Rattus norvegicus: one gene and its partners. The protein of the gene in region 1 purifies or fractionates together with the protein of each later gene. This does not show direct contact. Links are inferred from orthologs where the notes say so. Each region holds a gene or a part of one and is shown in the gene's direction. Other genes may lie near its edges.

What was found.
Region 2: the proteins of Mepce (region 1) and Mettl16 purify together in Homo sapiens (affinity purification with mass spectrometry; 3 studies listed by BioGRID). This does not show direct contact. The link is inferred for Rattus norvegicus from reciprocal best matches to the Homo sapiens genes MEPCE and METTL16.
Region 3: the proteins of Mepce (region 1) and Hnrnpul2 purify together in Homo sapiens (affinity purification with mass spectrometry; 3 studies listed by BioGRID and IntAct, with this or other methods). This does not show direct contact. The link is inferred for Rattus norvegicus from reciprocal best matches to the Homo sapiens genes MEPCE and HNRNPUL2.
Region 4: the proteins of Mepce (region 1) and Lsm4 purify together in Homo sapiens (affinity purification with mass spectrometry; 3 studies listed by BioGRID and IntAct, with this or other methods). This does not show direct contact. The link is inferred for Rattus norvegicus from reciprocal best matches to the Homo sapiens genes MEPCE and LSM4.
Region 5: the proteins of Mepce (region 1) and Ccnt1 purify together in Homo sapiens (affinity purification with mass spectrometry; 3 studies listed by BioGRID and IntAct, with this or other methods). This does not show direct contact. The link is inferred for Rattus norvegicus from reciprocal best matches to the Homo sapiens genes MEPCE and CCNT1.
Region 6: the proteins of Mepce (region 1) and Lsm3 purify together in Homo sapiens (affinity purification with mass spectrometry; 3 studies listed by BioGRID and IntAct, with this or other methods). This does not show direct contact. The link is inferred for Rattus norvegicus from reciprocal best matches to the Homo sapiens genes MEPCE and LSM3.
Region 7: the proteins of Mepce (region 1) and Cdk9 purify together in Homo sapiens (affinity purification with mass spectrometry; 10 studies listed by BioGRID and IntAct, counting the BioPlex papers as one, with this or other methods). This does not show direct contact. The link is inferred for Rattus norvegicus from reciprocal best matches to the Homo sapiens genes MEPCE and CDK9.

Annotation. Positions count from the first base shown.
Region 1 is NC_086030.1:24,547,441-24,551,395, forward strand, and holds the start of Mepce (7SK snRNA methylphosphate capping enzyme), read left to right. Parts: upstream 1-1,155; 5' UTR 1,156-1,746; coding exon 1,747-3,330; intron 3,331-3,955. UniProt on the Homo sapiens protein: S-adenosyl-L-methionine-dependent methyltransferase that adds a methylphosphate cap at the 5'-end of 7SK snRNA (7SK RNA), leading to stabilize it.
Region 2 is NC_086028.1:60,180,817-60,184,316, forward strand, and holds part of Mettl16 (RNA N6-adenosine-methyltransferase METTL16), read left to right. Parts: intron 1-2,764; coding exon 2,765-2,938; intron 2,939-3,077; coding exon 3,078-3,500. UniProt on the Homo sapiens protein: RNA N6-methyltransferase that methylates adenosine residues at the N(6) position of a subset of RNAs and is involved in S-adenosyl-L-methionine homeostasis by regulating expression of MAT2A transcripts.
Region 3 is NC_086019.1:215,141,604-215,145,549, forward strand, and holds the start of Hnrnpul2 (heterogeneous nuclear ribonucleoprotein U-like protein 2), read left to right. Parts: upstream 1-1,146; 5' UTR 1,147-1,239; coding exon 1,240-1,771; intron 1,772-3,943; coding exon 3,944-3,946.
Region 4 is NC_086034.1:18,792,057-18,796,302, reverse strand, and holds the start of Lsm4 (U6 snRNA-associated Sm-like protein LSm4), read left to right. Parts: upstream 1-1,446; 5' UTR 1,447-1,521; coding exon of another isoform or gene 1,522-1,605; coding exon 1,606-1,608; intron 1,609-4,246. UniProt on the Homo sapiens protein: Plays a role in pre-mRNA splicing as component of the U4/U6-U5 tri-snRNP complex that is involved in spliceosome assembly, and as component of the precatalytic spliceosome (spliceosome B complex).
Region 5 is NC_086025.1:131,594,139-131,598,110, reverse strand, and holds the start of Ccnt1 (cyclin-T1), read left to right. Parts: upstream 1-1,172; 5' UTR 1,173-1,262; coding exon 1,263-1,423; intron 1,424-3,926; coding exon 3,927-3,972. UniProt on the Homo sapiens protein: Regulatory subunit of the cyclin-dependent kinase pair (CDK9/cyclin-T1) complex, also called positive transcription elongation factor B (P-TEFb), which facilitates the transition from abortive to productive elongation by phosphorylating the CTD (C-terminal domain) of the large subunit of RNA polymerase II (RNA Pol II).
Region 6 is NC_086022.1:125,577,018-125,580,984, forward strand, and holds the start of Lsm3 (U6 snRNA-associated Sm-like protein LSm3), read left to right. Parts: upstream 1-1,167; 5' UTR 1,168-1,267; coding exon 1,268-1,288; intron 1,289-1,969; coding exon 1,970-2,080; intron 2,081-3,967. Other genes in the region: Xpc (DNA repair protein complementing XP-C cells), read right to left, coding at 915-1,008. UniProt on the Homo sapiens protein: Plays a role in pre-mRNA splicing as component of the U4/U6-U5 tri-snRNP complex that is involved in spliceosome assembly, and as component of the precatalytic spliceosome (spliceosome B complex).
Region 7 is NC_086021.1:36,396,217-36,400,363, reverse strand, and holds the start of Cdk9 (cyclin-dependent kinase 9), read left to right. Parts: upstream 1-1,347; 5' UTR 1,348-1,391; coding exon 1,392-1,483; intron 1,484-1,931; coding exon 1,932-2,013; intron 2,014-3,327; coding exon 3,328-3,418; intron 3,419-3,796; coding exon 3,797-3,963; intron 3,964-4,074; coding exon 4,075-4,147. UniProt on the Homo sapiens protein: Protein kinase involved in the regulation of transcription.

The DNA of each region.
Region 1 (3,955 bases):
ATGCGCCGAGGGAAGCCGCTTTTGCGTCTGAGCAGCTGGAGTAGCTCGCCATCTTCCGAGTGAAAGCCTAGTGAAACTACAAGTCCCATAATCCACGCCGGCGCCTTTATTCCCCCCCCCCCCCATAAGCTGCAGCGGAGCACCTGAGGCACTTCGTTCTTGTCTCTGCCTAAAATCTCCTTCTCCTTCCTGTTTCCATGTTATGACCCCTATCTTTTAGTTTCCGTCACGCTCTTATATTTTGAGACCATCTTGGGCCCCCCTCTTGCTTCTTTTCTGATAGTCTGCTGACAGGGAAACTCCGCCAGCCATCAGTCTAGGGACTCGGCATGGAATCAGTGCTTCCCATTGGCCGAAGCAGAAGGCCCAAAACAGGTCGATACCCGTTCCCGCCCACATTCGCTTGTGTGTCTAGTGGAGCAAAGCTGCAGCGATAATGCTGTAAAATCCACAACGCGAAAGGTGGCATTGACGATAACAACAACGCCACCCTTCGCGCTGGGGACTGATGCGCAGGCGCCGCACTGTAGCGGAGGCGTCCGAGGCCTGACGTAGGTGAAGGGAGGAGAGGAAGGCGTGGTTCTCTAGATGTTCCTCGCTGGTGGAAGGGAGGTCGCCTGAACGACCAGGCCGTTTCAGGGGAAGAGGAATTTGTACAGCCTCGATGTTTTAGTGCTTGCTTGTTTTCAATTCGAAGAATATTTTAAACAATGTATTGCATTTAATTGACAACAGTTCTTGAGACAGTGTGCTCGACTCCTTCGCCTACTTTATCATTCCCCCCTCAGGTTCTCCTAAATCCTTCTAATTCTAATGAGATGGGCGGGAAGAAGGAGGGGAAGGACTAGATTGCTCATGAATAATTCATGAGCTTGCCCCTTTCCTGGGAATGCACAACCCTTGGAAACGTGCTGACGCACGCTGCGTGCATCTAACCTAAGGAAACGACGTCATACTCCCCGCCCCTAGGACGGAGGGGGCGGAGCATCATCTCCAGCACGTGTTGCCCCTTCAACCCGCGCAAGCCCAAAAGGACGGTGCGCAGGCGCTCTCTAGGAGGGGCGGGGATGGGGGAGGAAGGAGGCGGGGCAGGGAGGTTGTTGGGTTTAGAGCCGGGCGGAGACCGCGGAGCCTCATTCCTCAGGAACAAGGGTCGGGTGTCAAGGAGACCTTTTCACACCAGCTCCCGTTCCCCGCCTACGGTGGGTGGGATCTCACAGCAGAGACAAAGGATATCAGTAGGGCTTGGACTTAGCAGCGAAGGGAAGTCGGGTGTCCGTGTGGGGCGGTGGGCGTCTCGGGCTGGGGGAGGGTGAGGCTATTAGGGAGGGGGGGCTGTATTTAAACTCTCAGAGCCGTTAAGTTGGTTCGCACTCCCGATGCGCGCGCAGCCTGGGTGGTGGCGGAGCGCGCATGCGTGGGTCCTGGGCGAGCGGAACGCGCGCCCGTCGTGCGCGCTCGCGGCAGAGTGGTAGAGGCGGCGGAGAAAAGGGTGTCAGCGCACGCGCAGTTGGTTCCTCGGCTTGTCCGGGTCTCGCGGGCATCTTGTTTTGGTCTCGCGGGCGAGTGGAGCGCGCTTGGTGTGTTGCGGGAGGGAGGTGGAGGCGCTTGGGCGCGAGGCAGAGCTGCGCGCGCACTCGGGGAAGGAGGGAGTGAGGTGGTCTTAGGAAGGGTTACAGGGGGGCTTCCCCTTGATCTCTTCTCAGTACCCTCGCTTGGGAAGGGGAAATTAAACAGGGAGAGGAGATGATCGAGATGGCGGCGGAGAAGGAGCCCTTTCTGGTGCCAGCCCCACCGCCGCCGCTCAAAGATGAGTCGGGTGGAGGGGGCGGCCCCGAGGTGCGATCGCACCAAGAGGCTGCCTCCGGGGAGCTCCTCGACGGGACAGAACGCGGGCCGGGCCCACGCGCGCACTCGGCCGGGGCCACAGCCAGCGGAGGGGGCGGCCCCCAGGCACAGACGCATGGGGAGCCCCACGGGCGAGCTGCCGCTCCTGCGGACGTGGGGGAGGAGCGCCGGGGAGGGGGCGGGACGGACCTGGGTCCCCCAGCCCCTCCTCGACCTCGCAATGGCTACCAGCCCCACCGACCCCCAGTGGGTGGTGGGGGCAAAAGAAGAAATAGCTGTAACGTGGGGGGAGGGAGCGGTGGAAGCTTCAAACATCCGGCCTTCAAGAGGCGCCGGCGAGTGAATTCGGACTGCGACTCCGTGTTACCATCCAATTTCCTTCTGGGGGGTAATATATTTGATCCACTGAACCTGAATAGCCTCCTGGATGAGGAAGTGAGTCGCGCACTCAATGCGGAGACCCCAAAGTCATCCCCACTTCCGGCCAAGGGGAGAGACCCTGTGGAGATCCTCATCCCAAAAGATATCACTGACCCACTCAGTCTCAACACGTGCACTGATGAAGCCCATGTAGTGCTTGCTTCACCACTCAAGATTGGTCGCAAGCGCCATAGACACCGGGGACCGCACCACCAGCAGCAGCAGGCATCTGGAGGGAATGATAGCCAAGCTGTGCTGCCCACTGACCCTCTCACACCCTCAGTCCATGGGGAGGGTGCTACGCAGCAGCACAGAGGCCAGAACCGAGATGACCCTCAACCCTATGAACTCAACACAGCCATCAACTGCAGGGATGAAGTTGTGTCTCCCCTTCCGTCTGCCCTGCAGGGTTCCTCAGGCTCCCTTTCTGCCCCTCCAGCTGCCTCAGTTACCTCTGCACCCTCTTCCTCCTCCTCCCGACATCGCAAACGTCGCAGGACTTCCAGCAAGTCAGAGGCAGGGGCTAGGGGTGGAAGCCAGGGTTCCAAGGAAAAGGGCAGAGGGAGTGGGGGAGGCCGTCACCACCACCCACTACCTGCAACTGGCTTCAAAAAGCAACAGCTCAAGTTCCAGTATGGGAATTACTGCAAGTACTATGGCTATCGCAATCCTTCCTGTGAGGACATGCGCCTTAGGGTATTGAAGCCTGAGTGGTTTCAAGGCCGGGACGTCCTAGATCTGGGCTGCAACGTTGGCCATCTGACCCTAAGTATTGCCTGCAAGTGGGGCCCAGCCCGCATGGTGGGGCTGGACATTGATCCACGACTTATCCACTCTGCCCGCCAAAATATCCGACACTACCTGTCCGAGGAGCTTCGTCTCCAAGCTCAGACTTCTGAGGGGGACCCAGGGACAGAGGGGGAGGAAGGGACTACCACTGTCCGAAAAAGGAGCTGCTTCCCAGCCTCACTGACAGCCAGCCGGGGTCCCATCGCTGCACCCCATTTGCCCTTGGATGGAGCGGACACATCTGTCTTCCCCAACAATGTCGTCTTCGTCACGGTAAGAGTCCAGAGGCTCTTGGAATAGGGTCCCAATGTGAAGATGAGATTAAGTAGGGATGTGTTGGGGGGGATGGCCATATCCATGCATCTGTTCCTTCATACAAGAACCATCTCCCGGAGAGAACAGTCTGGATTGGCCAGAGAATCTCTGCTGGGTGTGTTATCTCTGCTCCTATAACGTGGAAAGTGGGATCTCTACCTTCAGGCTCTAACATCTGGTCTTTTCTCATGACTACAAACAAGGATCTCATCCCTAACATAGGGGGCTGACTTGTTCTGCTTCCAACTGGGACTAAAATCCAAACAATCCGCTTCCCTTGAGGGTAACCTCTCCTGTTGAGTCCAGATGGAACCTTGTCCTCAAATCTCCTGAGGGAGCCTGAAGTTGGGTGTCTGGGGGAGGGGAAACACTCCAATATGTGTAGTTTGGGACTTTGATAGGGACTTTATTTGCCTTTTTTCCCCAGATGCAGCACAGACTGCTGAAATTACTGGTCAGGAACTCATGGGCTTGTCTTCCCATGCTGACTGAACAATGAGAAGGGGCAGTGAAGGCAGGGCTCTACATGGAGCGAGTGCCCAGCCTGACATCATGCTAGTTCCCTCCATTACACAGTTGTTAG
Region 2 (3,500 bases), on another chromosome or scaffold:
TAATTCACTCTAAAGACTAGGCTAGCCATGAACTCAAAGATCTGTCTTCCTCTGCCTCCCAAGTGCTGGGACTAAAGGAGTTTGCCACCACATCTGGGCAGAACTTAATCTCTTTTAATTTCTAAAAATGATGGAGTTCACTGTTAACTTTCAAAGAATAACAGAGCAGAGCAGCTCCCCCATAGCAGAGGAGAAATGACAGGATCTTCACTGGAGATTACTCAGCACAAAAGATGACTGTCAGAAAAGATGGTGTGTGACTGTCCTTTTTGCCATTCTTGTAGTGTACGGGGTAGGCTGTTAGGACAGCCCTGTCCTGCTGTGGCTGTGGATGTTGTGCAGAGCAGTGTAAAGTCCCACTTTTGTCCCTCGTCATTCTGTGTGCCATTGTCTTTCTTCTCCCAGCTTAATAGCAGCCTCATGTCAGGGTCCCTGTGTGTTTGGCTCTCAGTCTTCTGTAGGAACCCTGTCTGTTCTCATGGGTAACAGTGGTACTGTCTTCGTGCTGCTCTGAGGTACTGTCTTCGTGCTACTCTGAGGTACTGTCTTCGTGCTACTCTGAGGTACTGTCTTCGTGCTACTCTGAACTCCCTCATCTTGTCTGAAACCTAAAGGAATGAGGATCTACTGATTCTGAGGGTAGTTTCTCCTACACACGTACAACCATTGTGCTGCTTTTGTTTTCATCTTGAGACAGGATTCAGGGTATATAGCTCTGGCAAGCCTCAAACTTGTGATTTTTGTCTCATCCTCCTGAGGCTTTGATTCCGGGTGCATTTGGTATTTTTCTGATTTGTTGTTTTTGTTACTGCCTCTCCCATCTCTACTTCATCCCCCTCAAGCCTCCCCTTGCACATGTGCACATACACACACATACCTGTGCTGCCCCCCCAGGTGTGTTGTGTGTGTGTGTGTGTGTGTGTGTGTGTGTGTGTGTGTGTGTGTGTGTGTGTGGTTTTTGGAGACAGGGCTTTTTCTGTGTATCCCTGGCAGTCGTGAAACTCGCTCAGTAGACCAAACTGACCTTGAACTCAGAAATCCCCTGCCCTTGCCTCTGCAGTGCTGGACTTAAAGGCATGTGCCACTACCACCCAGCTTATCTGAAATCTTATTGGTTAATTCTAGTGTGGAGAAATAACAGGACTAGGGATATAGTTCAGTAATAGAGCACTCATATGCAAGGCCCTGGGTTTGATCCATAGCTTTTGTCTGTCCCCAGTTGCCAGAAAAGAAATTAGAAGGTTGTTTCTTAGAAAAATGTTTCTGACATCACTTTACATGTTTCCTTGCATAGAAGCCACTGGCTGTTTTCTAAGTGTCTTCAGTGTGAGGTCACTGGTTAATGTGACAAACCTTTACTTGCGTGTGTGTGCACGGGCCTTGTGGGTGTTGCCAGGGAAAACTGGAGCTAGGGCAGCACAGTTCTTGGGGTACTTGTTCACAGGAAACGGTCTTCCACTTGCTTCTCTCTTTGAACTTTTCTTTAGTATTGTCTCCTGGTCACTCTGTATGTGTCTTAATTTTTAAATGTTTTTACTTTTATTGATTAGCACAAATCTGTATAAAAGTGTATCTGGTGGGGTTGGGGATTTAGCTCAGTGGTAGAGCGATTGCCTAGCAAGTGCAAGGCCCTGGGTTCTGTCCCCAGCTCCGAAAAAAAGAAAAGGGAAAAAAAAAAGTGTATCTGGCAACCACTCCCAGTCTTTACTCAGGAAGACAGGCAGTTGGATCTCTCTGAGTTCTAGGCCAGCCAAAGCAACACAGTAAAACAGCACTGTCCCTTCCCCCAAAGGAAAGGGACATGTGTGTATTCTTAGCTAAATATAACTGAAGAGTTCTGTAGAGAGTTTAACTTTAAAGAAATAATGTAATTGCTGTCGTGTTACTTTTGATGCTTTAAGTAGCACTTGGGTCCCTCCAGTGGGTGGGTTGCAGTCTGCTTAAGCCCTAGGTAGAAAGTTAGAAGGTGATCTGGATGCCCACGGCCCTGGCTTCCTTTTTTTTTTTTTTTTTTTTTTTGTGTGTGTGTGTGTGTGTGTGTGTGTGGTTCTTTTTTTCGGAGCTGGGGACCGAACCCAGGGCCTTTCGCTTCCTAGGCAAGCGCTCTACCACTGAGCTAAATCCCCAGCCCCGGCCCTGGCTTTCAAATGTAGTGTTCTCATTGGTGCCGGTATCCTCCATCCCCAGTTCACAGGCCCAACTTCTTCCACCCATGTGATTCTCAGTGGCCCGGCCATTCCTGGCTGGTGGTTTTTTTTGTTTTTTTGTTTTTTTGTTTTTTTGATTTTTTGTTTTGTTTTTTTTAATAATGACCCTTGGGATCAGATGTACATCTTAAGGCTTTCGTGCTAAACACTTTACAAACTGTGCTGTCACTCCTGCCCCTGTGCAGTTGATTATGGGCATGCTTGGGCGCCATAGATGGAAAGGTGGTTTAGTGTAGAGAATGTCTGTACTGGTAGCTGGAGTCTAGCAAGGTGATAGGTTTTGAAGAATTTGGATTTGGAGTTTGAATCCCAACCTGCCATTACAAAGTATGAGTCTGAGCTATAATGACATAGCTTGTCGTAGTTTTCTTTTGTAAGGTGAAGGAAGTGGAAAGCTTTCTTCCAGAGCTGGCTCCAGCACTGGAAATGACATGCACAAAAGCCTTCATATTTCGGGTCCTGTGGTTGGGAGCAGAAACCCTGAAAAGGTCCCTGCTTGTGTCCACTGTAGTGTACTTTCTTTAAAGTTGGGATAACTTTCTTCTTTTTTCTTTCAGTCACCTCCAAGTAAACGAAGAAAATTGGAAAAGCCAAGGAAACCCATTACTTTTGTAGTGTTGGGGTCTGTGATGAAAGAGTTATCCCTCAAAGCCTCATCTTTGGGCTCCGAGACAGTGGAAGGCATAGTGGTTGTAACAACATGGATAGAAAAAATCCTCACTGATCTGAAGGTGTGTGGCCAGTGCACTGACGAAACTTTACCTACATGACCTTTACAGGGTTTTGTTTGTATGTTTGTTTTTTATTGAAGGAGTTTGATAAATAGTGACAGGTGATTTCCTATAAAATTCTGTTTTTCCTTCCTCATAGGTGCAACATAAGCGGATTCCCTGTGGAAGAGAAGAAGTTAGCCTTTTCCTGACAGCCATAGAAAACTCGTGGATTCATTTAAGGCGGAAGAGAAGAGAGCGAGTGAGGCAGCTGCGGGAGGTGCCTCGGGCTCCTGAGGATGTCATCTTAGCCTTGGAAGAGAGAAAGTCCACTCCCAAAGAGCTGAGTAGTGGCCAAGACATGACCCATTGCCTCCAAGAGAGTGCCTTGTGTGGACTTGATGTGCCGGAAGGCGAGTCTGCTGCTGTTGGTGGCCATTGCTTCAGCCAGAAGTTACTGTGCCAGGAGGAAACACCGGAAGCTATGGAGGATGAAAGGGATGAGGAAAGGGGAGGGATGGAGGCCATGGAAAGTTGTAAAGGCTCCAGCAATGGAGCCCAGGACGGAGAGGCTTCTGAGAAG
Region 3 (3,946 bases), on another chromosome or scaffold:
GACCTGGAAGAAGATGGAGTAGGCGGGAACAACTGAAACAAGTCAAAAAGGCTTCGCTCCTTTCCAACCTTTTTATTTGTCCTTATCCAACAAACATTTGCTGATGGTTCTGCTGTTATTGAGGAACCGAAGTGAGTGAGGCCTGAGTCTCCAGTCCACAGGTGAAGAAAAACAGGCCGTAAGTACCGTGCCCAACAACAGCGCCACAGCAGAGGCCCAAGCCCGGAAGACTCCTCCAGGAATTCGGCCTAAGTGCAGGAGCACTGAGAGGAAAAGAGCAGACTGGCCAGCAGTTTAGCATCTAATGGGGCGCGCGCATTGCGTCATACCACCCAATCAGAATGGAGTCTAGAAAAGTAATCCCGCAGAACCGGCCCCGCCTCCCCAGCGGACCAACCCGGAAAAAAAAAATTCCCGGCTACTTCTCCAATAGGAAAAAAAGCTGCACGATATCGGATGGCCAATCAGAGCAACAGACTACGATTCAAGCTGGCCAATGAGAGAGGGAAAGGGTGAGGTTGGCGCCTCTGTTGCTGGGTAGATGTTTAAGCACAGAAAGAGGTCCCGACATTGCTCTCTCTCCCTCGGTGCTGAAAAGGTCTTTACTGACTAGCTACGAAAACCCTGCACTACCCATCCCTCCAGCTTGTCTTCGGTTACTAGTCTCAGAAGTAGCAGTCAAAGAATAAGTAAAGGAGGACATCCAGTAAGACCTAAGGTGCTCCGGCAATTGGGAGCAGGCAGGAAGTAAGAGACGTGAGGAGGGCGGGGCCCTGGCGCGACTGCGTAGAGCCTACAACTGAAGTACGGAAAGAGGAGCGCGCGCACGCTTCCGTGCTACGAGGCACTTGAGCCACAGCCAGCCTCAGGCCTCGGTGCGGCTGCGCGGTTATGTCGCCTTCGCTGATTGGCCCGGATCTCTAAGAGGAGGGAGGAGGAGTGAAGGAACTCTGTCGTCCTCGGCGCGCACTACCCGGCAGTGGAGTACTGAATGTCTCGGAAGCTGCTCCTCGCTGTCTTGTTTTGGGCTCAGTGAGCCGAAAGGGGCAGGGCAGGAGGAAGGCGACACAAACACGCCGCGAAAACAGCGCGGTCTCTGCCTCTGTGTGCGTGCGCTTGCTAGCGCGGGCTCAGTGCTGGCGCGGGAGGCGGAGGCGGGCGGCGGCGCCTGCGCGGTCGGGCTCGGTCGACAGTTCGCAGGGGAGGAGGCGGCGGGAGGCGGAGGAGGCGGCGGCGGCGATGGAGGTGAAGCGGCTGAAAGTGACCGAGCTGCGGTCGGAGCTTCAGCGGCGGGGCCTGGATTCGCGCGGCCTCAAAATGGATCTGGCTCAGCGGCTTCAGGAGGCACTGGATGCTGAGATGTTGGAGGACGAGGCTGGCGTTGGTGGGGCCGGGCCCGGCGGGGCCTGCAAGGCGGAGCCTCGGCCTGTGGCCGCGTCGGGCGGAGGCCCGGGCGGGGACGAGGAGGAGGACGACGAGGAGGAGGAGGAGGACGAGGAGGCGCTGCTTGAGGAAGAAGACGAGGAGCCACCACCTGCTCAGGCTTTGGGCCAGGCCGCGCCGCCGCCTCCGGAACCCCCGGAGACGTCAGCCATGGAGGCCGAGCCCGAAGCTTCCGACATACCGGCGGAGGCCACGGCCGGGTCAGGTGGGGTAAATGGTGGCGAAGAGCATGACAACGGCAAGGGGGAGGAAGACGGGCCGGAGGAACGGAGCGGAGACGAGACTCCCGGATCCGAGGCACCGGGTGACAAGGCCGTAGAGGAACAAGGTGAGGAACTGGCAGCAGAGCCCGGCTCCAACCTGCCGGGTGCGTCTCGGATCTAGCACCCCACCCTGCACCACGCTATCTGATTCCTTGTTTGCACTTGCCCGAAAGTGCACTGTTCTAGTGGCTGATGGGTTTCTCCCGGGAAGGTGGCTTTCATCCACTGCCCATCTTTTTGAGGGTTTGGACGTCTTGTCTCTCCGCTGTTTGCAGGAGGGAGGTTCCTGCCTAACGTGGTTCCTTGGTGTTAGTGGATGGGTGTGTGTGTGTACCTGGTGTGTATTGGTGTATTGCTTTCGGACTACCTGTAGATCAATCTTCTGGTGCCCACCCCCACTTTGGCTGAATACCTTTTGCCGAAAATATGCTGGAAAATGTGGCGATCTACAAGGGACCTCAGCCTTCAGCCTACCTGACAGTTCGTTCCTTACCTTAAAAATGTTAAGCAATAAACAGTCCGTGAAATGCTGCTCTGTCAAACCTACGTTAGTCCTCAAAGAGACTGTATATCTAACCTTGTCCCTTCCTGCTTAAGCGGTAGGAGACAGTGTGTGTGTGTGTGTGTGTGTGTGTGTGTGTGTGTGTGTGTGTGTGTGTGTGTGTGAGAGAGAGAGAGAGAGAGAGAGAGAGAGTGAGTGAGTGAGTGTCTCTTGGGTTTAATCATTAACTAGCAAAGAGAAACTCTTAGGCTGGTAACATTTTTAGTAATATGTTAGTTACTTGACTGGGGCTTTTTACTTTGTCCCTGTTGTGTTTTTATTTTAATTGTCCTGCCCAGTCTGTAAATAAGCATATTTATACACTTATTCTACACTGGAGCCTTTAAGGCTCCTAACTTCCTGAGCTGAAATGATTGAGGGATGCTTGTGGTACAAGATTTGTGGAGACTTCCCACAGGAGTTAATGACCTTTATCCTTTTGAAATGTGTGCATGGTTAGAGCTAATCTATAGAGTGTCTTTCAGAGGAAGGAGAGCTGCTTCTGAGTCTACTTTCAAATAGGGGGATTTGTTTGTTTGTTTTGCCTTAGGGCTTTTTGTACTGTTTTTTGTTTTGGCTGTTAGTACTATAAAGTTGAAATGTATTCACAAAGTATAGCGTTTGGAGTTTTGTTGTGTCTGATGTCCTGGGACCGAAATCCTATTACGTAACTCTTAATTTGTGTTATCCCAAATAGCAGATAAAAAGCATTGAAGGATAAGGGAGAGTTTTAGTGGAATTGTTACAAACACGTAAGCCTACAAAACATTAAAGCCTAAGAAAAAACTTCATGTGTTTCCTTGTAAAGAGTGTTGCTGCCAAGTTTGGTGTCACAGGCCTTCAATGCCAGCACTTGAAGGCAGAGGCAGGCAGATCTCTGTTTTAGGCCAGTCTGATCTAAATAATGAGTTTTAGGACAAGCAGAAACTACATAGTGAGACCCTGTCTAGAAAAAAACAACAGTAGCAAAAAAAGAATGTTACTAAATATACAACACCACCTTCCTGCCCCAAACTCCATGCAGTAAAGATGCAGTGTTATTTATGGGTTGCTTGTGACTTAAGAGTTTCTCTGGGTTCAAGTTCCTATTAAAAATACACCTGTCATTGTAAGGCCGTGCATTTTAACGTAGAAAAGGTAGTCTCTTAAAGAAAATGTGAGGGTTCTGTGTCACGTAGCTGCTGAAAAGTGCTAGAAAATAGTCCTTAAGTACTTGCCATGAGAATCGAAATTCACCTATTGGAGTAGATAAATATAGAATCAAAAAATTGCCCAAGGGCTGGAGAGATGGCTCAGTGGTTAAGAGTACCCACTGCTCTTCCAGAGGTCCTGAGTTCAAATCCCAGCAACCACATGGTGGCTCACAACCATCTGTAATGAGATCCGATGCCCTCTTCTAGTGTGTCTGAAGACAGCTATGATGTATATAATAAGTAAATAAACCTAAAAAAAAAAAAGAAAAGAAAAGAAAAATTGCCCAATTTAATTAGCCCATGGTGGTCTTCCCTCCATCTCACCCACCCCACCCCCCGCCCATCTTAACCAATAATTTTGGAAATAAAACATGGGTATAATAGGAACACTGTCTCAATCATATAGCCTCATTTTCCTTAAGTTTACTCAGAGTCTCTTAGTTCTGAGCTCATTCTATGCTCCAAAATAAAAACTACTGATTTTCTTTCCCTCCCTTTTGTAGGAG
Region 4 (4,246 bases), on another chromosome or scaffold:
CTTACCTAGGAAGCGCAAGGCCCTGGGTTCGGTCCCCAGCTCCGGAAAAAAGAACCAAAAAAAAAAAAAAAAAAAAAAAAAAAGAAGAAGAGCCCTGGGTAGTGGCGCCCAGGGAGTCTCCTGGGGCAGAGGAACCGTACAAGTGAGCTCATCACTGACATTCTGCACCAGGCCTTCCAGAAGCTTGGTAAAACAGCTGTCCTGCTCGGGACAGCTCAGGGCAGAGCTCCGATTCCATCGCCAGTAGCCAAAGGAAATAAAAATAAATAGAAGGGCAGGGGAGTTGGATCCATGGGTAAAAAAGGCTGACTGGTGAAAAGGCTAGACTGATTCCATGACAGACTTCAAACTGGCAGTTAAGGAGAGTAGGCCTAAATCAGTTTCCAAGAACTGGGCAATTCCAGGCAAGTCCAGGCCTCAGAAGCTGCCCTGCCACCTGGCCTGAGGCAAGGACAATGGCTGGGTCAACAGCAGTTTCCAGACTTCCTCAGCAGCAGTTTCCAGCCCTCCCCAGTAAGTTTCCAGCCCCCACACCCCAGTAATGGAATGTCTGTAGAGATGGACCCAACAGATTAACATAGAGGTCACCTACCCCAGAATTCCCTAATGTGCTTTAAATCAGACTTCCAAGTTCACTTGGGTGTCTATTCTGGTAATGGGAGACCACAGCATGCTGGACTTCTGCAGAATAAAACATTCATTGCCTTTACATACTATTTGAATCCACGGTATCATTCTTCGGTGGCGAATCATGGACCCTAACACTGGGCAAGCATGAGAACCTAACTTTGTATCTCAAGACGACAGATTAAAACACACCTGCAATCCCAGCACCAAGATCTCAGGAAGTTTGAGACCAGCCTGGTCAACACTGAGTGTTCCAGGCCGGTTAGGGCTGCACAGAGAAACCCTAACCTCTTCCCAAAATGATAACGATTAAAAAAAAACAAAAACAAAAACAAAAAAACAAGGTGCTGGCTTGGTAGCCTACAGCGGCCATGCCAGCACTGAAGAAGTTGCGTACCAGGCTATTGCGAGTTCATGATCAGCTTCAGCTGCCACAAGAACCCATCTCAAAACACGAAAATTCCAGCGATTTGTTTCCTGTCGCCGGGGAACGCTGGCCCTGACGTTCGCGTTCAAGGATTATATTTGGATTGATAAAGAGAAAGAGCTCCATAAGGGCGAGGACGGAAAGATAGGAGCGCGAAGAGGGTATGAAGCGGGTTTCCCCAGCCCAGCGCGATTCACATGCATTAGCCAGTTTCGCCCACAGTGTGGCGCCGAACCAGTCAGGAGTGCACATCTGCGCAGGCGCCATTTCCCAACATACACCATGAGTGGGCATGAAGAGCACCGCGGCCTTTTGCGTCACTCCGGTGTCACGCTTTACGGCCGCTCCTCAATCCCACGGTGGGAATACGACGCGATACGCCGCCGCGTTATGTAGGCACCGCCTTATCCCGTTCCGATTGGATCGGTCCATTTAGTCACTCGCTGATTGGTTATAGTTTCTGCCAGTCTTTTTCAGGCTGGAGCGCGCGGTAGACTGCCGGTGGGAGTGCGAGTGGCTGTGCAGCGGCGGAAGTTATCTCTGCAGGGAAGATGGTGAGGGCCGCGAGGCGGCGGGGCGCGCGCTCAGGGTCTTCGGGCTGCTGAGAGATGGGGAAACCTGAGGCCGGAGGTGACCAGTGTCTCTCTAGGGTCCCAGTCCGCCACCGTTGCGGATTTATCTCTTGAATGGACAAGGTTTTTTGCGGCCGGAAGGACTATGATCGCTTCCGGAGCTTGTCACCGTTTTTGATAGGATTGCTGCGTTTCCGGGAAGTGGGCGGACCTAAGGGCTCACGTGGGTTCCATTGCCCACTTGATGCTTATCAAGTGTCTGACCTCAGCTGCCTACGCCTTTGGCCGAAAGTCCAACCCAGATTGAGGGATGTTTCTCTCCCTTGGACACATAGCAGGTCCTGCTCGGGAGGAAGGAAATTTTTTCTCCTAGTTCAGGCTCAGGCCTTCCCAGTTGTGGGACCTGACATGATGGAATAGAGGAGGCCAGGTTTCCCTGCTGCTCTATCGAGGGGCGCGTTGGCCCAAGTTGGGAGAGCTGGACATGCCCATCTCAGTTCTTGATGGTAGAATATTTGGTTTTGTTTTTTGGTTAGGCTTTCTGATCTGAACTTAACGTAATCCAGGCTAGCCTCAAACTCATCCTCTTGCTTCAATCAGTGGAGTATGGAAAGGACACGTGTATACCTCCATGTTTGGGTTAGGACGGGAGGCAGATCTCATATAGCCCAGGCTGCTTTTGAACTTCCTTTGTAATCACGTATGACTGAACTCCTGATCCTGCCTTTACTCCAGAGCGACCCTGGGTTTTGTGGTGCAGGACCTCAGGGCCTAACACATGCTGTGTAAGCACTCCCCACTAGGTGTACCCTGAGCCCCTGAGACTCCTTCAGTCTATTCCCACCATAAAGCACCCGCCCAGCCTCTGAGCCTCCCTGAAGGGATGGCCAGGTGTGTCCAGGACTGGACACCCTCTCCACGCAGGTACGCACAGACACTCCCATATCTCTGCGGCCCAGCTGGTACAGGAGTGTCCCAGCCGAAAGTTTCTGAATTCGGAGCCCAAGGCTTGATCCTCCAGCCGTCTCATCTACACGCTGGATCCCAGAGAGGCTGGAGGGTGGCTGAGAAGGAATTTCCTTTCCTGAAACTGCTCCTCTGATGGGAGGTGCTGGGACTGGAGCCCAGAGCCAGTGGCCATAACACCTGCAGGTGCAGGTGCTCAGTGTAAAGCTGTATCTCCCCACTCAAAAGCCTGTGACTATCCCAGCTCCACCCTCCCTGTCCACCCTGGCCCGTTTCACTCTGAGCTTTTTTTCCTTCGTTTTGGGAGGCCTGCCCAGCTGGAGCACGGACTAATTACTTCTCTATGAACCCCATTCCTTCCATTCCTCTGTATCCCACTGCATGCGCAGATCTGGGGGTGGCGGCCTGTCCCTACACCACACTTACCTGTGGCTCTGGACAGGATGCACCTGTGCTGGGTATCTCCACCCTGCCTGTTCAGCAAGTGTTTACTGCCCCTCCCTGCTGCAGGAGAGCCCGCGCCCACACTGACCTTCTGTCTAGCCAGGGAGACTGGTGCTGATCACCCTGTAATTAGAGAGCGGCCCCTGCTGTGGTGGGTGGAAACAGGCTGGCAGCCCAGGGTGGCCATTAGGGGCCTAGTCACAGGAGGGGACATGCTCAGCAGGATTGGGCAAAGAAAGTCTGGGGAAGGGCACCCTGGGAGGTGGCTGGGGCCCGGGCAGGAGGGACAAAAGCTCAGTAGTAGGCTGGACCTTACCATGGCTGCCTCACAGCCAGACTAGCCTGTGCTGGCCATAACAGCTCCAGAAGAGCTGTGTATGTGCGCCTGTTCTTGTTTAGTGATGTTTGCCCCTGAGCCTTTGCTGTGCCTTGTCTTCAGGAGTTTGACTGTTCTATTTGTTCCTTTATTGAAACAGGGTCTCATGTAGCCCAGGCTGACCTCACATTGTAGCCAAGGATGACCATGGCTCCAACTCCCTGGAGCTTAGCCACAGGCTGCCAGACTGTGCCTCTTTTTCACTGTTTATTTGAGGGTCAGACTGGACACCATTGTCACTGATCACCAAGGCCACCCTCCCACCACCCATTTTCACAGAAGCCATCCTCTGCCTCCTACCCTTTCAGGAAGTCTCTGCAGGAAATGGGCTCCAGCCTCACTTCCTGCCACTGAACCCCCACCCCCACCCCTAGCTCTTCTCAGGAAGGGCCCTGTGCTGCAGGCTCCCCCAGCCCTCTCGTGACCCAGAGTCACCAGGCTGGGCACGATGGCCCCGAGGATCTGAGTCCTTGATGTTTGTTTCTTCTGTTTTAAATGATTTATTTTTATTTCATGTGCATTGGTGTTTTGCCTGCGTGCATGTCTCTGTGAGTGTGTTGGTTCCCCTGGAACTGGAGTTATAGGCATTTGTGAGCTACCATGTGGGTGCTGGGAATTGAACCCAGGTCATCCAGAAGAGCAGCTGTGCTCTCAACCACTGAGCCCTGTCTCCAGCCCCTTGTGATATTGTTGTTGTTGTTGTTTGTTTGTTTGTTTTGCTGTGTGACCCAGTTACCCTGGAACTTAGATCCTCCTGCCTCTGCCCCTCAGTGCAAAAATTAAGTGCCTGGCTGTATTTTGATTTTTGGGTGAATTTTGGAGACATGTCTAATG
Region 5 (3,972 bases), on another chromosome or scaffold:
AAGTTCAACTCAGCGACAGAGGCCTGGGAACTGAGACACCCTGGAGTAGACCGGAGGCTGAGGCACACTTCAGCCCCGGCTGGCTTTTTTACAGCCCTTGATAATCTTTCCCAGTGCTGTGCACAAATTATCTCCTGATCTCCTTCACCTGATAACCTTTCCCTCAGGGGTGGGTTTCCTCGAACTACTGACCTGACCCGCAAGGGCCCTTGCGTAGCCTAGGGACCTGACTGGAAGATTGTAATCTGCGCAGGCAAGCTTATCACATTCGCCGACCAGAGGGAAGAATGCAAAAGAAAAAGGCCTCCTGACCTAAATGATAAAAACAATGAGTAGTGTAGAGCGTGGCAGGGGTGGTGTACACCTTTAATCCCAGCACTTGGGCAAAACCGGCCGCATTTCTGAGTTCCAGGGCTGCAATAAATAGACAAATAAATAAATAAAAAATGAAGAGCGGGGTTGGGGATTTAGCTCAGTGGTAGAGCGCTTGCCTAGCAAGCGCAAGGCCCTGGGTTCCGTCCCCAGCTCCGAAAAAAAGAAAAAAAAAATGAAGAGCGAAAAAGACCCTTTTATCTTCAAAGTCCAACACCCAAACAAAATATGTCGTGTCCTTTGGGCGTGGAAGCTTGAAGTCAGTAACGTTGATTTTATTCCTTCCAGTTGATTGTCTGCAGTGAAACGGAGGAAAGTCGGCTACAAAATAGAGCAGCTTTTAAGCGGGCTGGGTCCTCGACGTTCCAACACGGGGCAGGGCCACTCACTGTCCGGTCTTTTCTCGGTTCTCTGAGAGTCTTGCCTATTTTCCCTGCCACTGGCTCCGTAAGCCCCGTACTACAAAGGGGCCTTCAACACGAACGTCCTCCTCGGAAGAGACCCAGCCGAGCTCAGCAAGAGTCAAGCAGGGGCCGCCGGCGAGGCGACCTTAACCCAATTCTCGCGCGGACGCACGAGACTTTTAAAGAACAACGTCGACAGTCCCGCCCACTGGGGGGTCATATTACCGGCGCCCGAGTCCCGGCCTCCTATTCGTTCCTGGCCGCGGACTGGCTGCTGATTCGCCTACAGGGCGTCGTAGGGTTCATACCGGAAGTAGGCGCTTGAATCTTCGGCTTCCTGAGCGGAAGTGTGTCACAACCTGGTGGTCGACCCTTGGAGGAAGTTCGTCACGTCGCAGTTGTCTGGGCCCGGCGGATGTGTGTCGCCGCTTAGGTGACGCTGGGAAGTGCTTGCAGCCCCCGCCGCTGCCTCTTGGTTGAAGCACTATGGAGGGAGAGAGGAAGAACAACAACAAACGGTGGTATTTTACTCGAGAACAACTGGAAAACAGCCCATCGCGTCGTTTTGGCGTGGACTCAGATAAAGAACTATCTTATCGCCAGCAGGCGGCCAATCTACTCCAGGACATGGGACAACGTCTTAACGTGTATCCTTGCGGCCTAGGCCATCTGCCTCGGAGCGCGTCCGGCCATGCTTCGGCGTCCGGGCCGGCGACGCTGGCGGGTACAGAAGTGGGTAAGGTGGTGGTGGTGGCAGGAGCTGGGAGTCTAGTGGGGAGAGCCCACAATGGCGCTGGCCGAACCACTGTTCGCGCGAGGGAAGTGAGGCGGAGTCAATTTCCCGCTCGCTCACCGGTGCCACCGGCCGGGCTGCGAATTCGTGCCTCTCCTGTCTTTGTGTTTTCGCTACTCCTCCTCGGCCCCTGTTCTCTGAATTCTGCCCTGGTTTAGTGGCTTTTGAGAGTCTCCTTTCTGCCGTGAGCTAAGGCTCCATGTAAGACATTTCACCATCGACTCTGCCTCCCGAAGTGTATAAAAAGGGTTTCTGGGAATTCTCAAAGGACTTATGAAGGTGGTCTAGGATTAGTGTTCCAGTTTTGGTTCCAAGCCCATTTCTCTCCCTAGCTGGCTAACCTGTCAAATTATTGTTTGTTTTGTCCCCCCAATGTCCACCACAACGCTTGATATTCAAACGTTCCAGTAGCTGTTTCATAGAATTTAAGAGGAAGGAAAGATGTCAACTTAGGTTTGTAGGGAGGTATATGTGTTGATAGACTTTTAAGAGTTTTCAGAATATTAAGTTCTTGTTTTTCAGGGCACTAGTGACAGTTTATTTATCAGTTTTCAATTTAGAGATAATGTAGTTTGGTGGATTCTTTTTCCCCTCCTGTCCCAGTTTTTTTCCCTCATGAAAATGTAGTCTTTTGTGGCAAAATTAGTAGTTTTAAAGTTCTTACCACTGCCTGCCCCCCTCCATATATATATACATATATATACATACATACATACATACATATATATACATACACATATATACATATATACATACATATGTATATGTATGTATATATATTTTTTCCTTTTAGTTGCAGTTTCCACTTGTGTAGCATTTATTTAAGAGTGATGCTGAGGGCTAGTCTTGGTGTCCAGTGCCTTTAATTGGAGCTTTGGGGAAGTAGAGGCAGGACGTAGTAAGACCCTGTATCAAAAAAAAAAAAAAAAAAGGTGCAGAGTTTAGGTCTGTGGTGTTTAAATCTGAAGGTTGTGTATTGTTCCAAATAGGTGTTTTCTCTATTGCCAATTGTTTCCTATTGAAATCCAGTTTCCCAGTGTGTTTACAGCGCCTTTTAAGTGTGTGTTTAAGCTTGTCGCCCTCGGGGTTGGGGATTTAGCTCAGTGGTAGAGCGCTTGCCTAGCAAGGGCAAGGCCCTGGGTTCGGTCCCCAGCTCCGGAAAAAAAAAAAAAGGAAAAAAAAAAAAAAAGCTTGTTGCCCTCATATTGTCACCTCTCTGCAGACTGTTGCTGAGATCTGTGGGGATAAGTACTTAAGTTCTTGGGGAGGTTGGAATGGTGCCTATACAAATGGAAGACTGGACCAGAGGAAGGCAGGAGTTCCATTTTTTCAAATCATTTCAAAGGTTTTATACTTCAGAGGTCATGCTTTATTTCCTGAAGGTATCAGAACTAAGCAGGGTGTGGTGGTGTGTACCTTTAATCCCATTAAAGGTACTCTGGATGGGGAGGTGAGCAGATCTCTAATTCTGATGTCAGCCTGATCTACAGAGCAAGTTTCAAGACAGGGATTCATAGAAAAATCCTGCCTTGAACACTGCCTCCACCCCACCCCCCACAAAGAAAAGAAAGTAGAACTGGTAAACTTAATTACTGAAGTTCTGAAGAGGAGAGAGAAAAGTTCCAAGAGCCTAGTAAGGGAGGGCCTGGTAAATATCCTTAAAAAGTTACGCTGGTGGGGCTAGAGAGATGGCTCAGCAGTTAAGAGCACTCACTGTTGAGGCAGTGCCCAAATGGCAGGCCACAGTTGTCTATAACTGCAGTTTGAGGGTAATCTCATGCCCTCTTCTGACCTCTGGAGCACCAGACATGCCCATGGTGCATCAGGCAAATGCTGATACACTTTAAAAGAAACCGTTTTAAAGTTATTCTTGGGCAGGCAAGATGACCCAGCAGGTAAAGGCACTTATCCACAAGCCTGACAACCTGAATTCTATGCCTGGGACTCAGGGTGGAAAGGTAACCGGCTCCTGCAAGTTGCCCTCTGACCACCACACTCATGCTGTGGCCTGCACCTCCCGCCCAGAGTGAATGTAGTAAAGAAAGTTATCCTGAGCTAAAGGATCATCTCTGCAGAAGGCAAGTGACAGGACAGGAAGTCTGAGATCCAATGTAGCGCTGCATTGTATGTTGATTTACGTCTTGCTGCTTGTTTTGTTTATTTTGTTAGGTCCATAGTAAGCACCTGTAAGGCAGAGCACATGCTGTCCCTCTAAGTTAGTGAAGGCAAACTGATCTGCCTTGGGTGGAAGAGTTAAGTTCACTCTCCTGTGGGATCTTCTATTGTGCTTGGCCATTTGTTCCTTTGGGAAGGAGATTATATTGTCTGTTTTTGAACCTTAACTCAAGCACTTTCAGCTCACAACTGACGATCAATACTGCCATAGTATACATGCACCGGTTC
Region 6 (3,967 bases), on another chromosome or scaffold:
GGGAAACAAGCTAAGAGAGGTAGATGCTATACTTGGAGAGCATAAACCTAAGGAGGTTTTAAGTAAGAAGACAGAGGCATAAGGTTTTGTTGTGGTTCTACATCCATTTGGCTGCTAGATGATGGGGCAGACAGATGAGAGGAAGCCAGAAAAGAAGCAACCTGAAGTTCATTTCCTTAACGATATGGACAAGATCTCTAGCTATAAAATTAAGAGAATTAAGTACAGATTTCGGTGGTTCCAAAGCTGAACTGGACTTGATGCCGAACTGGCAGTTAAGAAGAGATGTGTTCTAACGTGTGTTTTAAAAGGGATGATTTATTGAAATAGAACAACTGGGGGGATGGATATGTTTAAGGGGAAAGATGGATCTTGTTCAAGATCTAGATTAAAAACTCATTCCAGCCAGGGCGTAATGGTGCATGCCGGTTAATCCCAGCACTAGGGAGGCAGAGACAGGCGGATCTCTGAGTTTGAGGCCAACCTGGTCTACAAAGCAAGTTCCAGGACAGCTAGGTCTACACAGAGAAACCCTGTCTGGAAAAACAAAGCAAAAAACAAGAGTAACAGAAAGCGCATCCTAAAAACCCGGAGCTGGAGTTACACTGGATGGCAGTCAGGAACTTGATGAGAGAGATCTCTCACTACAGGTCTCCCTCGGTCCTGGTTTTTGGCATCTCCTGAGATACCAGGCAATTGCGAAGCTTTCTCCAGCTCGGCCTTCAACACTTGCTATGGGGCTGAACTTGGTACTAAAGGTTAACCGAGGGGTTAAGACAGATAGCAGAGGCCCTCGGGGGCTGGAGGGGGGACGCATCGGGCCGTAAAGACCTTGCGGTAGACACAGATCCGCTCCGCCGCCCGCCCCAGCCTCCGCCACCATCGCCTGACATGCTGCAGACTTGGCCTCTCACCCGCATCGCTCTCCTCAGGCCGGGTTGCTTTGTTGTCCTCGGCTTCCTGGCCGCGCTTCCTCCGCTTTCCGCCTGCGGTACGCTTTCGGGCCATGCTAGCCAGAGGCGTTCCTCCGGACAACCACGCAGGACTGCCGAAAGTCTCCGCGTGCCGGCTCCGCCCCGAGGCGTGCCATGCCTGGCCGCACCCCCAGCTCCGGATAGGACCACGCCCTCCAAAAAATCCCGCCCCCATGCAAACTACAAGGGCGCGAAGGGACAAAAATAGTGTAGTTCGCCTTCCAGTGCGTGGCGGCCCAACGTTTCCTAGTGTCTGCTCTCGCGAGAGGTGGAAAGGGCGCAGCGTTTGAAACATGGCGGACGACGTAGATCAGGTAAGTTTGTCCTGGGGCGTCCGAAGAGGAAGTGCTTTCGTTTCTTAGCCGGGCTTGCTTTTTCCACGCTTCCCGTGGAATGGCCCTTTTCTTTTTCCCGAGTTCCCACGGCCTTCCGCAGCCAGGCCTGCTCCTAAAACTTCCGTAGGCCCAGAGTTTCTCAACCCGCCCATCTGCCCATCTCGCTCGTCGTCGCCCTTTCTCTGTAGAATGCAGACGGCTGTGGATATCCCATCTATGGGAGATACGGTCGGGATTCCGACAGAAAGAGTACTGTAGCGGTAGGACACCAGCATAGTAATACGTGTAAGCACCTGGCACGCAGGCAGTGGCTCACTTGGAGTGTGTTACGAGGGGAGGTCAGATAAAAGGTGCAGTTATGTGAGATAGAGAAACTGCTAGAGATGTAGTATATAGAAAACAAGCAAAGACCTGGCACACAGTGTTTCTCTTCAGAGCATGTTGTTTTAAATGTGTTCTTTATTTAAAATGTTCGTTCCACAACTAGAATATAAGTTCCTTAATAGGGATTTATTGGGGCTTAGTGGTTAAGAGCACTTTTGGCTCTTGTAGACAACCCTGGCTGTGTACCAACACCCACATGTTGCTTTCACTGCTTAACAGTGATTGAAACACCACACTACCTCAGTGTTCCATTACTAAGCCTTCTTCTCTCATCAGCAACAGACCACCAATACCGTAGAGGAGCCCCTGGATCTTATAAGACTCAGCTTGGATGAGCGAATTTATGTGAAAATGAGAAATGACCGAGAGCTTCGAGGCAGATTACATGTAAGTCTGTTAAGTTATCTCAAAACCAGATGCTCCCCTGTCATCCCTTCCTACCTCCTTACAGATAAGAACTGCAACATAAACTTATTTTTTTTAATTATACAATGACTTTTGGGAGTTGGAAATTCCTTTATTGGCTTTTAAAATATTTTTTCCTTAACCAGAATGTTTTTTAGAGAGGGATGGGACTCCTGTGAGACCAGAACAAGGCATCTGATTGCCCAGAGCTGGAGTTACAGACAGTTGTGAGCTGCCTGGTGTGGTTGCTAGGAGCCAAACTCAGGTCCTCTGCAGGGATAACCAGTGCTCTTAATTTGAGCATCTCTACAACCCTGTAGAACACTTTTGTTTTCTTCAGCTTTGTCCTCTGTTTATTTAAAATGAATAAACTTCTTTTTGTTTTAGACAAGGTCATACTATGTAACCCAGCTAGCTTCAAACTCAAGATCCTCCTGCCTCTCTCTCCTTAGAACTGGGATTTTAGACATGCACTACCACTCTTGCCATTGTCCTATGTTTTTAAAAGTTATTGGACAGGGTGTTTTGGTTTTCGACATATAAAACTCTCCTTTGACATGAAAAAAACTAAATAGCAGGCCAGAGATCGTTCACCTAGTATGTGGCAAAGCCCCTAGCACTACCAAAAAAAAATTAAACACCATAGAAATCTAAAGGTGAAATTCCATTTTCTCTGCACTATTCAAAGTTGGCTACATAGTCGTCCACATCTTTTCTGCATGTGTATATGCTGTCTGTGTTTGAAGGAGGATCCTAGTGAGGTACGGTGGCATGTGCCCATAATTCCAGTACTTAGATGACTGAGGTAGGAAGGTCATATATTTGAGGCCAGTCTGGACTACATAGTGAAACCTTGTCTGGTATGTACACACCTTTTCCACACGGTTTCTGTGTGGAATGATTATGCAGCTGACACAGTTGCCCAGGATTCTCTATAAGGCTTCGGTCACTTTTTTGTTTTTCCAGCCTTAAAACTGCATTGTGCACTTTTACATATATTGCTTGTGCACATTTATGATGCCTGTGGAATTGGTCCCTTGAAGTAGCATTATTGTGCACTTAGGGTTTTGTCTCTTCTTGTTACTTTCCTCAGAGCTGTTGGTTTACAACGGGAATTGGAATTAAGTCTTTTTAGTTCAGGCTTAGAAATAGCCCCATACTGGCACCCACAGAGCCAGTGTGGGGGACAGTCTCAGTCTTTCTTCTATGAAGAAATTTTTAGTTCTTTCATGAAACCTGAGGATAAAGAACCTCTGTGACTTGGAAGGAAATTGGACTGTTGATCTACAAGCCAGCATTAGGGAAACAGCGGTGCCAGTTTGGTGAGAAACATGGGATGGAGCTAAATTGAAAGGCTCTTCGGCACATGGAATGACCCCAGGCTAGACCATCGCCTTTAGTTTGGAGGTGTCTGAAGCTCTTACCTCTGTAGTAAGTGGCCCAGGTTTCTGTTTCCTCCCTGCTCTCCAGCTGAACATTTTGCTCATTTGTGTAGCTGCCAAGCAGTTCCTTCTCAATGTGGCGCCTGGCTATTTTTAATCTTGATATGAGCAGGCAAAAGCACTTAGCACTTTGTTAGAAGAACATATAAGTGGGTTCTGAACAAGCCCCAGGAGGTTTGCTGTTAGTAAAAGGGATGAACTTTGGAGGTTGCACTAAACACTGTGGTTGCAATCCTTCCTGCCTGAGCCCACAGATGCCAAAGCATGTTAAGCTCTGGACAAGTTATAAATGGGCAAAGTAAAGGTGGGACAGATGATTGGTGGGTAAAGTTTGAGTGCTGAAGTTTAGATCCCTAACACCTGTGGAGACCCCAGAACAAGCTCTTGCGTTCAACTTAAAGACACTACCTTAATACATACGGTGGGG
Region 7 (4,147 bases), on another chromosome or scaffold:
TCATATTTTTTTTCTGTAAAACCCAGTTCACATGTTTGTTTCAGAATGTCCAGCAGATATCTCTCTCTCTCTCTCTCTCTCTCTGTTATTATTTCCTGGTTGTCCTAGAACTCACTCTGGAGATCAGGCTAGCCTCGAACTCAGAGATCCACCTGCCTCTGCTAAGTGCTGGGATTAAAGAGGTGCGCCATCACTACCCAGCTCATGCCCAGCATTTCAAAAACGCGCAGGAGTGCCTGTTCAATTTTAACCATTTTTGGGATGATTGACGCAGGACAGACCAGCTTAGCCGCAGCTCTGTGAAGGAAGGCAGTAGATCCATCCTTGCCTTCCTGACCACACAGGATCCAGGGTTTAGGCCTGAGCGTCGCCGCGCCCCCTGGCGGCCGTCAGTTGCCATGTCAACGGCGGGTGGCTGAGACGGCGGAGGCGGCAGCGGGGGCAGTTCTCTCTTCCCCGGGCCTCAGGCCGCTCCCTCGGCACCTCCTGCCTTCGCCTCACTGGGAGCACACTCCCAGCCCTGGAAGAAGGGCCCTTCTGTGGCAGCTGGCATTAGGGGGGTAAACTGAGGCACGCAGCAGGGCGCCGCAGGCAGGTGTCTAGTGCGGAGCCCCACCTCCAAACGCAGAGGAGGGGCTGCTAGCAGTGACGCGCCGAGGGCGGACGCTGGACTGGGAGCGGGAGGGCGGGAGGCGGCGGCGGCAGGTGCGGCCGCGGAGGGTGGGAGGAGGAGGGAGGGGGCGGGAGGGGGAGGGGAGGCCAGGACGGGGACCTCCCCCTTTATAACGCGCCCCCTCCCGGGCTCTCGGGCCGCCTCCTCGTCTGCTCTTGCTATCTCGCCCCCTTTCCTGGCCGCCCCGGGCCGGGTTTGGCCAGGGAGCCCCCGCCCCCAGGCCTTCCCCACACCCCCACCCGTCGCCCCGCGCAGCCCGGCGGAGGCGGCGCCGTCGGAGGAGGAGGAGCAGGGCACTGCGGCTGGCCCCGGATCGGGAGCCAGAGCGGCAGCAGCTTCGGCAGCAGCACGGCCCGGGCCAATGCAGCGGGACGCACCGCCACGAGCCCCAGCCCCAGCGCCACGGCTCCCTGCGCCCCCGATCGGGGCCGCCAACAGCACTAGCGGCGGCGGCGCAGGCGGGGGCAGTGGCGGCGGCGGAGGCTCCTCTGCAGCTCCGGCTCCCCCTGGCCTCCCGGGAACTACAAGTCCCAGGGGGCCTGGCGGCGGGCGGAGACCGGAAGAGGCGGGCTCGGCACCTCGAGGCCGGAAGTGGCCTTGGAGGCGGAAGTGGCGCGGCCGCGGAGGGGCCTGGAGTGTGGCGGGACCGGGAGCGGCGGGAGCTGCGGCTGGGGGCGGCGGCGGCGGCGGCGGCGGCGGCGGCGCGCTGGAGGCGGCCATGGCCAAGCAGTACGACTCAGTGGAATGCCCGTTTTGCGATGAGGTCACCAAGTACGAGAAACTTGCCAAGATCGGCCAAGGCACATTCGGGTAAGATTAGGCCGCGTGGGACCGGTAGCCCAGGACCTGCACTTTCCATGGCCTATATCGGGTCGTTCAGGGCCGGGGCCCGAGGTGGTACGGAAGCTTCTATTTCCTTGATTGTTGCCTGGTCTTGCTAGGCCGCGCCGCAGACGCTCCCGGCCTAACCGAGCGGACTGGCAGGGAGGAGCCTGAGGCCCGTGATGGGGGTTGGGTAGGGTTGCTGAGAGGAACTCAGTTTGTGAGCGGACACCTCTGGGGGGAGGAGTGGGAGCCGAGTAGGAGTAAGAGCAGGGGCTGGGAGAAGGACAGAAAACACGTGGTGTGGAATAACAGCTTACAGGAGTCCCGGGCCGCACCCCACCGTGTGTCTGGTCTCCCGCTGCTCCTCTTCGCGTGGGGGAGGGGCGGTCCCTGCGGAAATGCCTGATGGGTCCCTCGGGTCTTTGTGTTGCAGGGAAGTATTTAAAGCCAAGCACCGTCAGACCGGCCAGAAGGTGGCTCTGAAGAAAGTGTTGATGGAGAATGAGAAGGAGGGGGTGAGTATATGGACCACTGGGCAGTTCTTCTAACCTGTGCTCGGTTTCCACACTGCTACTTAAAAGGGTTTTGTGCTGAGATTCCACCCAAGTATTTTTCGATTTTCCGTGTGACAAGACATTTGGCTTTCCACTTAGACTTTTGAGTTTTTGTGGCAAAGTTCGGTGGGAGGCAAGTGAGGGAGCCTGTGCTTTGCGTGAAAGTGCACGTTGCCTCTAGAAGTGGGGTTTTTGAAAACTTCCAGCTTAGCGTCGAATTTTGTTTTGTACGAAGGGACAATTTGTGCACAGGCAATTTAAAAGGCAGCTTAGCTTAAGGCGTGTTTTGAAGCATGATGTCCCCGTCTTAGCTTTAGTACAGCGTTTTCTTTGTAAGGAAAAAGCTGTTTGACTATTTCCTGTCTATGCGTGTCTTGTTTTCTGGTGTGGCTGTGTACAGCATGCCTGTCTGGTACCTGGGCACCTGAGGAGACCATGCTAGGCTGCCTTGGATCACTTGGGACTAGAATTAAAAAGATCCACCATGTAGAGGCTGGGATTGAACCTAGGTCCTCCGGAAGAACAGCCAGTGTTGTATGTGTGTGTGCATGCATATGTGTATGTCTCCCTGAAATAGGGACTCAACATAAGACTTGTTTAATACAAAAATCTCTCAGTATCCCAGCTGTTCTCAGACTCGCAGAGGGTCAACTGCCTGTGCCCGGAGTGCTGGGAATAAAGGCTTGGGCTGCCACTCTTAGCCAGGACTGGTTTGCTTAACTATTCATCTATCTCTGGACCCAGGGAATTTCTTGATTTTAACCCACAAGCATTAGTGCCAAAGATTTTGTCCCTATTTGAGTTGTCTAAAATAAATTCCTGGCCCAGCGTAGAGGGCTATGATTGTAGTTCCAGCATTTACGAGGCCAAAGAAAAAGGATGGTTCACAAGTCCAAAGCCGCCATTGTCTAGATGGCAAAATCTAGCAGCTCCTTGAGTGAGATGTGTGTGTCCTTTCACTTACCTTCTGCTTTACAGAGACTGGTTGCAGATAAATATATTTATTTTCCCCTCAAGCAAGAGCTCAACTAACCAGACTGGCCTTGAACTTGGGACAGTTCTACTCTCTATTTGACTCCTGATAGTAGGATTGGATTCCAGACAGGAACCGTCTGTCACACAAAAACTATACTCTTACCTGCCTTTCAACCTCTGTCCCTCAGTATAGATCACACACACACACACACACACACACACACACACACACACACACACTTTTACTTCATGGGTCTGTTGCTCTCAATTTTGACCACTTCCTCTCTTTCTCCTCCCTAGTTCCCCATCACAGCCTTGCGGGAAATCAAGATTCTACAGCTCCTAAAGCACGAGAATGTGGTCAACCTGATTGAGATTTGTCGAACCAAAGGTACGATGCTCGTTCTCGGGATAAAATGAACCTTAAACCTTTGCTTGCACTCCTGAGGTAAATGTGCTTAATGCCTCCTCCTGACTTGACTTGATCACACAGCTTCCCGATCTGTTTTGTTTTGAGACAGGGTTGCCCTGTGTAGCCCTGGCTGTCCTTGACCTTGCTCCATAGACCAGGCTAGCCTCACACTGCCTCTGCCTCCCTAGTGCTAGGGCTAAAGGCATGCACCACCAGTGACTGACCACCAGCTTCTCCGGGCTTTCTCCGATGGAGTTGGGTGTTTGTGGATTGGAGGGCTGGGAGTTGGCTGTGGAAAATGAGGTGGGTGCAGGTTTTTTATTTTCCCTCCCACCCTCTCTCCCTATTCTGCACCAGCTTCACCCTATAACCGCTGCAAAGGCAGCATCTATCTGGTGTTCGACTTCTGTGAGCATGACCTCGCTGGGCTGCTGAGCAATGTCTTAGTGAAGTTCACGTTGTCTGAGATCAAGAGAGTAATGCAGATGCTGCTGAATGGCCTCTACTACATCCACAGGAACAAGGTGAGGCCTGGGGCCGGGACAGACTGGGGCTTCTTTGCTCTTCACTGCCTTGTGGGTGGGTCTCTGGGATACTATGAGACCTGACCGAGCTCTCATGCGTCCTCCCTGCAGATCCTGCACAGGGACATGAAGGCTGCCAACGTGCTCATTACCCGAGATGGGGTCCTAAAGCTGGCAGATTTTG